Macaca mulatta: one gene and its partner. The protein of the gene in region 2 purifies or fractionates together with the protein of the main gene of each other region. This does not show direct contact. Links are inferred from orthologs where the notes say so. Each region holds a gene or a part of one and is shown on either strand. Other genes may lie near its edges.

The links. The genes of interacting proteins can lie anywhere in the genome.
Region 1: the proteins of GATAD1 (region 2) and MORF4L2 purify together in Homo sapiens (affinity purification with mass spectrometry; 4 studies listed by BioGRID and IntAct, with this or other methods). This does not show direct contact. The link is inferred for Macaca mulatta from reciprocal best matches to the Homo sapiens genes GATAD1 and MORF4L2.

What each region holds. Positions count from the first base shown.
Region 1 is NC_133426.1:110,318,687-110,322,761, forward strand, and holds the start of MORF4L2 (mortality factor 4-like protein 2), read right to left. Parts: upstream 2,814-4,075; 5' UTR 2,749-2,813; intron 1,485-2,748; exon of another isoform or gene 1,408-1,484; intron 48-1,407; 5' UTR 1-47. UniProt on the Homo sapiens protein: Component of the NuA4 histone acetyltransferase complex which is involved in transcriptional activation of select genes principally by acetylation of nucleosomal histone H4 and H2A.
Region 2 is NC_133408.1:126,936,080-126,940,301, forward strand, and holds the start of GATAD1 (GATA zinc finger domain-containing protein 1), read right to left. Parts: upstream 2,812-4,222; 5' UTR 2,542-2,811; coding exon 2,287-2,541; intron 1,523-2,286; coding exon 1,397-1,522; intron 1-1,396. UniProt on the Homo sapiens protein: Component of some chromatin complex recruited to chromatin sites methylated 'Lys-4' of histone H3 (H3K4me), with a preference for trimethylated form (H3K4me3).

The sequences.
Region 1 (4,075 bases), on a different chromosome or scaffold from region 2:
CCTCCTGATCCTCACTATACAGCAAACTTAGCTTTTCTGATGGTGACCTAGAAGGTCAAACAAAAGGACAGGAAAGGACATAAAATAAAAAGATATGAGATATGGCTTTCTTCTACATCAGCCAATGCAATTTCATCACACACAAAGGACACCAAAGCTGATAAATAATGTACAAGTATTTCTTTTTCCTTTCTTGTGGCTACATTTTCAAATTTAACTTATTGTATATTTATATAATTTCTGACAATTTTTTTAACTTTTCCTTAAAGATAATTTCAAATGGATGAAATAAAAGAATAGTATTACAAACCTACACGAATCCATCATCCAGCTTTCAACAATTACCAACTGAAGGCCATCTTGTTTCATCTATAACCCCACCCACTGCTCCCCCCCACCCCCGACTTTTTCAAGCTCACGGGAATATCTGACTTCTGTATTTTATTATACAAAAATTTAAACGTATACCAAGGAAAGCAGATTAATATACGGAACCCACTGCCTATCACTCAGCAAAAACTATTATTAATTTAGGGTCAATTTTGTTTCATCTATACCCCTCCCCATTTCCCCCTACCGCTTAGATTATTTTGAAGCAAATCCTAGTCATTAATGTATTTAGAAGCCAATCCCAGACATTATATTATTTAATCCGTAAATATTTTCGTATATGTCTCTACAAAAAAGGACAATTTGAAAACATAATCACAATACTACTGTGACGCCTAAAAAAATTGACATCAATTCCTTAAAAAACATCAAATATCGAATCCATGTTCCAATTTTCCCGATGCGTCTTAAACATATTTTTACAGTTGGTGTGTTCGATTCAGGATCCAAACAAGGCCTACTCATCGCATGTGGTTCATCTCCAGCTCGCTCTCGTTCTCCATCTCTTTCTTTCTCGCACTCCACCCCCCCACCTTTTATTTAACTTTTCAACATGGGAAAATTACAATCTCTGCAATTTTGAGGCAATTCCCAAAGAGCAAATTATTTCATTGGTAAAAATTGATATATCTCTTTTATCTTTAATTTATTCTAGGAAAGAAGTTGATGGCAGAAAGGGCACTACAATTAGCGAATTTATATAATTTATAATTTTTCTCATTCTATTACGTGTATTATTTATCTCCATAACAATAGCTAATATCTTCAGGGGCCAGGCTTCATATTACGTGCCTTATACGCACCATTATACAGTACACGTCTCTGAGGTAGATACTATTATTATCACCATTTTACAAACATGGAAACCGAGACACAGAAAGAACAGGAGCCTTGCCCAAGCTGGGCGTTGGCGAGCAGGAATCTGAATCCAGCTCTGACCGATTGTGAAGGAACTAGCTAATCCCGTCTATACCCGACGAAAAGAGGAAATCATCGACCCTTTCTCCCCACCCCCACCCCGAAACCTGAAACGAGAATCCAGATCTTCCCAGCAGACGACGTGTGATCACTGCCGTTCCTCCAACCGCCATAGTAAAGCCAGGTTTCTCTGGCAACTGATATCCATAGGCAGACACGTCACCCTGGAGGAGGGCGTATGCCCTTCAGCCAATCACAATCGTCTTGTCTAAGTTTTAGAATGTTCCATAACCAAATGATTGGACAACCACCCCCACGTCAGCAATGACACTTCGCCGCAGTAAAGGCGGGTGCTAGCAACCTGCTTCTTCACTGTTAAGGCCTACAGCAAACCAATCCTCTTCCTCCGTCAGTGCGAGTTCCGGCCAATGACGTTCGCCCTCTTAGGTTTTTAGCCCGCCCTCCAAAAGCGTGACAGCCGTTGGGTCATAAGTCTATAGGGCAGAATGTTCACGTGGCCTATTTCACGACCCAGAGTTCCTCTGACCAGAAGGTTTTTTTTTTTTTCCTTTTCCTTTTTTTTTTTTTTTTAATTTTTTTCCTGCAGGGAGGCATTATGGGTTTGTGTTTCCCCCCAGCCCCCCACTGGGAGAGGAAGTGTCTACGTGGCCTGCGGAAATAGGCGGAAATGAGCTAAGGTTCCCGCGAGTGGGGAAGCGCGAGGTCAAATCTGGAGCCACGCCCCCAGGCCTGTGGCGCAACTCCCCGAACATGGAAAAAAAAGGCGCAGTGGGGGGTTCTGCTGTGTTTGCGAGTTAGGGTCGTGAGTGCAACGGGCGCAAGGCATTAAGGCCAGTGTGTTAGTGCGCGGGCAGGCTCGAGTGCCCCTGGGGTTGCTGTGTGAGCGGCCCTCGTGGCGCTGGAGGTGATGTGTTTGCGCAGGCGTGCGCCCCTGGCGTCTGGACTGGTGAGAGCCACGGCGCGCGCCCGCGTGCGTGATTGGGGTGGGAGTTGCGGGGAGGGGTTAGCTACTGCGCGCAGGTTATCTATTTCTGTATTTTGTTTGAAAATGTTCTAATGAAAATGAAAATAAATAATTAAGGCAAGGCGACAATAACAGAGATAAAGGGGCACTGTCAGAAATATTTTGGCTTTCCCTGATTTAAATACTCCTCTGTGCCAAAATCCGGTCGTAAACCACAGCCCTCCAATGATTCAGAGCCAAAGCCTTCCATCGTCACATTAGCAACTCCAAAGGGAGACTTCTTTCAAGTTGTCTAGTATCCTCCTCCCTCCCCTCTTCCACACCTCCCCCCTCCCTTCAAGGTTGCGTGCAGTTCTCTTGGCACAAATACAATTTTCCTATGAGAATATCTATCTATGACAGCCTTCCCCTCCGTTAGAGACTCCGGATTTTTATGGTGACTAGGGCGCTCTTACCTTTGCGTCCTGATCTCCAAGCAAGCACACTGACCTTCTTCAGGCAAATACGCACTGTTAATTTTCCAGAAAGTTCTGTGGGTAAGGTTTATACCTCTCGAGTTCGCCACTAGATGCCGCCAAATCCCAGCAAAGGATTGGCTGTGTGGTCCCTGGGATTCTGGGATTTTGTTTCCCTCCCCCCTCCCCTTTCTTGATTTGCTGAACGCTAATATCTAAGGCATCATTGATATCGTTCATTCCTAGGAAAAAATAAAATCAGCTTCTGTGAATAGCACTAGTAGTCAGGGAACTGTGACCCAAGATCCAAATAATTTTACTCATTTCTTTCCTTTTCTCCTTGGGTGGGGGGGCGGGGGGGAAGGCCCCTCTCCATCCCTCGCTTCTTTTGTCCTTGCCTTGTTTAATCAAAGAGTTAATGAATGACCCAAGCACTGATGCTGAAGATCCTAACCCTTTTTCCTCACCTTTTCAAATGCTCGCAACTCACCCAAACTGAAAATACAGATAGCTGTTACTTTAGTAAAGAGATAAGAACTCATCAGTAAAACTTGGACCCTGGTATTGAAAACTGATTTTCCTTTTCTCTTGAAATTTGTATCAGATATGTGTGTTTGCACCCTATTTTCTGTAGTGGTATTGATAGACTTTATTGTGTCTTTGGAGTAAGAGAAAGAGACTTAATTGTTAACCTCATTCCACCACTTACTAGTCTCAGTACCCTGGGCAAATGATTTATGTTCTGTGATCCTCAGTTTTTTGTATGCTTTCTATATTTTAGATGCTGTGTTATATCCTTCATGTCGATTTTTTTTTTAATTTATCACCAAGTCCTTATTAGATGAGCAGTACTAGATCAAAGTCAAACAACAAAAATCATACCCCTTTCAATTATCTATCTTATATACTTGTACACAAGAGGGATTTTTTTAGAGCAGTGGTTCACAAGATGTGTTTCCTGGATGTACCAGAAACATCAGCATCACCTGAAAAATTGTCAGAAATTCACATTCTCAGGTCCCACCTCAAACTTAATGAATCAGAAGTTCTCACGGTGGGGTTTGGTAATCTGTGTTATTACAAACTATCCCAGTGATTCCAGCACACACTGAAGTTTGAGAACCACTGCTTTGGAGAGTAGAAATGCAATGCATATTTTTGTATACACCACTAGAGGGTGCTACAGAATGTAAAGCAAAATAATAAATGATGCACAGTATATGTTTTCACACACCATCCATATTATCAGTCCTATTTTACAGATTGAAAACTAATGTGTAGAGATGTCAAATTATTTTCTTAGTGCACACAACAAGTATGGGAACCA
Region 2 (4,222 bases):
AAGCTGGAACTAAGGCTTTAGAAACTTTGACAGTTCTTAGTAATTTGCTACCATCCAACCATTTTTGAAATCCCTACTAAAGCTTCAATACATACTTTTATGCCACAACATAGAAAGTAGGCCTCCCCAGATGTGTCTTGCTTAGTAACATTGAAGAAAGGGTTGCAGACAAACGATAATGAATTAATTGCTGAGAACATGGTATACTATACTTAAAAGGAAAAAAAATGTGCATATGTGATACAAATACCAATAAGATATTTTGCATAATCAACAAATGCCTTGCTTAACTAAATTATAAAAATCTTAAATAAATTAGAAGCAACTACTCTGAAAAAGAAAATACTTTGGGGAAGGGAACATCACACACTGGGGCCCATCGGAGATGGGGGGCAAGGGGAGGGAGAGCATTAGGACAAATATCTAATGCACATGGGCCTTAAAACCTAGATGATGGGTTGACAGGTGCAGCAAACCACCATGGCACATGTATACCTATGTAACAAACCTGCACGTTCTGCACATGTATCCCAGAATTTAAAGTAAAATTTTAAAAAATTAATTAAATTAAATTAAATTAAAAAAAAAAAAAAAAAAGAAAATAGTCTGCCATCTGCATAAGTCTACTGCAGGGTCCCTTTGTGTTTCAGAAATAAATATGCCCGACTTCAAAAATGTCTTTACGGGTAAGTGAAACATTCCTGTTCTGAAAGAAAAGAATACCATACTGAGACTTAAAAAAATAGTCCATAATGCACTGTCCATTGTGTTTGAACATTATCCCTTGTTTATAAAAACTGATAATTTAATTGCAATAAAAATATGCTTTCAATTATTTCCAGCACAGGTCTTTCAACAATGTCTTTTCTTAGAGTAGAAGAGATAAGGCTTAGCAGAATTTTTGACTCATATTCATCAAATACATCATCATCATAAGTCAATAAGATACATTTTCTGGGGCTTTAATAATAAATAAATATGCAAATGATGAGTTCTAGTGTTAATATTTACTTAATTTTTAAAGAATGAAAAAAAAGTTTTCTTAGTGTACCTGGCCATATCAAGAACCATAATCTCTCCTCTTCCTTTCCATAGAGAACCCCAAAAAATGGGCTCAAGGCTGATGTTTCTTTTAAACTCATATTTTATATTTTCCAGGGGAAAAAAATAAAAGCTAAAAAAAAAAAAAAAAAAAAGGAAAGAGTATTATTACCTTTAAAAATAGTGAGCCTCCTGCAACAGAGCTCATTCCCTTTTGGGGAGTCTGGACCACTCCCCAGAATACTAAGGAAGGGCTACCAAGGGCAGAGTCCAAGTTCAATGGCGGGAAATGAAGGCAGTGGCAGGATACACACAACATCATTACAGTAAAAGGCACTGTCCACAAATATCTTACATTTTTCAATTTAAATATATGTCTTCTCCCTTTTCCTTTGGTGGAAACTTTCTTCTCAGCAGCCGGAGCAGATTTGTATTTAGTGTTTCTGAGCCGAGCAGACCTCCTGTGAATTTCCTGCTTACTCTGTTACACAAACAAATTAAAGAACAGAGAAAGAAGTAAAAAGTGTATAAAGGTTGCAATACAATCATCTTACAAGGATCCCAGAGTATGTACTTTATAGGAGTATTTAACAATTAAGAGTGCGCCTTTGCTTTTCAACAGAGGTAATTTCAGCAACTGGGCTAAGTAAAACCGGAAGTTCAGCACCGGAATCTCGGAGCTCGCTGGACAGGCGTCTCCAGAGCCTCCAAAAGGTGTGAGCTGCTTGTAATAGGTCAGGAGGCGGAAGTAAGAGTCAGTCTGGGCCAAGACAAACACTATTCATTTGTTGTGTCTACAATAGAGAAAAACACTTAACAACTTTACTCCCTAAGGCCAGATAACGTATTAGGTTATGGCGCCTCCTACAACTGAATACTTAAGCTGCCATTTACAATAATGACATAATAATCTTACTTCATAACCTGATATGACAAAACCTTTAACAAGCAATGAGGTCCAGCACCTGCACTTGTGGCATGACCCTGTTTACGACTGTGTAGACGTGTGCATATTGAGATTTTCTTAAGGGCTTTACATTTTGGTTCTTATTGCTTTGAATTTCTTATAACAGGTGCTTTGGAATGGGTCAAACCAAAGATCTCAGTAGGAGGTGGGGAGGGGCGTTCCAGCCGGCAGGACCACGCGAGCCGGGAAGCCCGGGCCCGCCCGCTCCCAACCCGCCCGGCCCCTGCCGCCTAGCGCCCGGTCGGCCTCCGCCGGCGGGAGGGGCCGGAGGAGCTCACCTGCTTGCCGCCCCCGCCCCCGTTGCTCTGCGGAGGAGTGGCGGAGGTGCTGGCGAAGGTCGCCGCGCCGAAGCCGCCGCCACCGCCGCTGCTGCCCCCAGTCCCTCCAGCCGCCCCCGAGCCTGCGCCCCCGCTGCCCGCGCCGCCCCGGCCAGTGCAATGATGGCAGAGGATCTCCCCCTGCGTGCCCTTCTTCCACATGGAGGACGACGTGGTCTTGCATACGCTGCAGGTGGGCTTCAGGCCCAGCGGCATGGTGGCCGGCTCGGGCGGCCCCCGCGGGCGCAGAGACACGGGAATGGCGGACGCTAGCCCGGCCGCCCCCTGGTCGGCCCACCACTCCCGGCGATAGGAAGAGCGGTGAGGGCGACAGCACCGAGCTGCCCGTGAAGGGACTAGGCCGCTAGCGCTGCCGCGTGGAGGCGGGAAGCGGGTTCCGCCGGTTCCGCCGGCTCGGCGCCCAGCACCAGCCCCGGGAGGCCCGAGGCACTGGGAAGCAGGACCGGGAACGGGATATGGCCGGCGGGGACGCGGAGGCTTCCGGCGGTGAGCTGGCCCCAGGGCCGCGCAGCCCGACCGCCTGACCGGAAGTGCAGCACCCGGAATTACTGGGAGCTTGCGGTAGTTCCGCTTGCTGTCGCCTAGGGGCGCGGTTCTCAAACTTTTTGGTGTCAGGCCTAGAATTTGCGGGGTAAAATGCAGGACGCCCAATGAAATGTGACTTTCAGGTAAACGACGAACAATTGTTTTTAGCGTGAGTGTATTTCATGCAATAATGGTTTATCTGAGAGGAGTTTAACTGGGAGTCCTGTATTTTTATGTGCTAAATCTGGCAATCCAGGTCTGGCGTGGTGGCTCACGCTTGCAATCCCAGCACTTTGGGAGACCAAGGCTGGCGGATTACTTGAGCTCAGGAGTTCGAAATCAGCCTGGCCAACATGGTGAAACCCCTTCTCTACTAAAAATACAAAAGTTAGCCAGGCTCAGTAGTGGCGGGCTCCGGGGTAATCCCAGCTACTCTGGAGGCTGCGGCAGAAGAATCTCTTGAGTGCGGGAGGTAGAGCCTGCAGTGAGCCAAGATCATGCCATTGCACTTCAGCCTGGGGGATAGAGTGAGACTCTAACTCAAGAAAAAAAAAATCTGGCAATCTTTCTCAGGACCCCTTTACACTCTTAAAAATTATAATTTGGACATGCCCCTACATCTCCCCCCAACCCATACTTTTGTTTAGTTGAATTCAGAGCATGCCATTTACGGACATCGACAAGGGATTCAGAAAATGCCATCCACTGACATTTATGTTTTAGAAATTGAAATTGAGACATTTTACAGCCTAAGATGTCAAGCGCACATTCTTCAGCCATTGGGTAATATCGTTGCAAGTCCCTTGGACTCTGAAGAGTATACCGATTAGAGAATGTGGAGAAAATTGAATAACTGGCTGTTATTCAATTCAAAACTGTTGGAAAACAGTTTTGGCTCTGAGGACCCAGCAGTTGACAAACAGCGGGCCTGGGACAAGCGCAGTATGAGAAGTCAGATCGCCTCTTTTAATGTCACTAGTCAGTACAGGCCTCGCCAGACAAGTCTCTCCTCAGCCTCATTTGGAAGAGCATGTCCTGTCTTCATGATCCTGGGTTTCCTAGACTTAGTATCCTTGGAAAAGTCTTGATGAATATATTGTGGTGGGAAGCAATGGGGAGAAACAAATGCCTATTATGTCACAAAACCACATTTAGTGCTTATGACAACCTTGGAATGAGATATTATCAGATTTTACTGTTAATTGGTGATCAACAGAGGCACTTCTATGTGAACTGGCTGTCATTATAGCTGCTGCCGTTGGCACCAATTTCGAGGAGGACTTTGGAGCAGCCCTCCCCCCTCTAAATCTGTTTCCGTAACAGTAAAAATAAGTTTCCAGGACTCTTATGG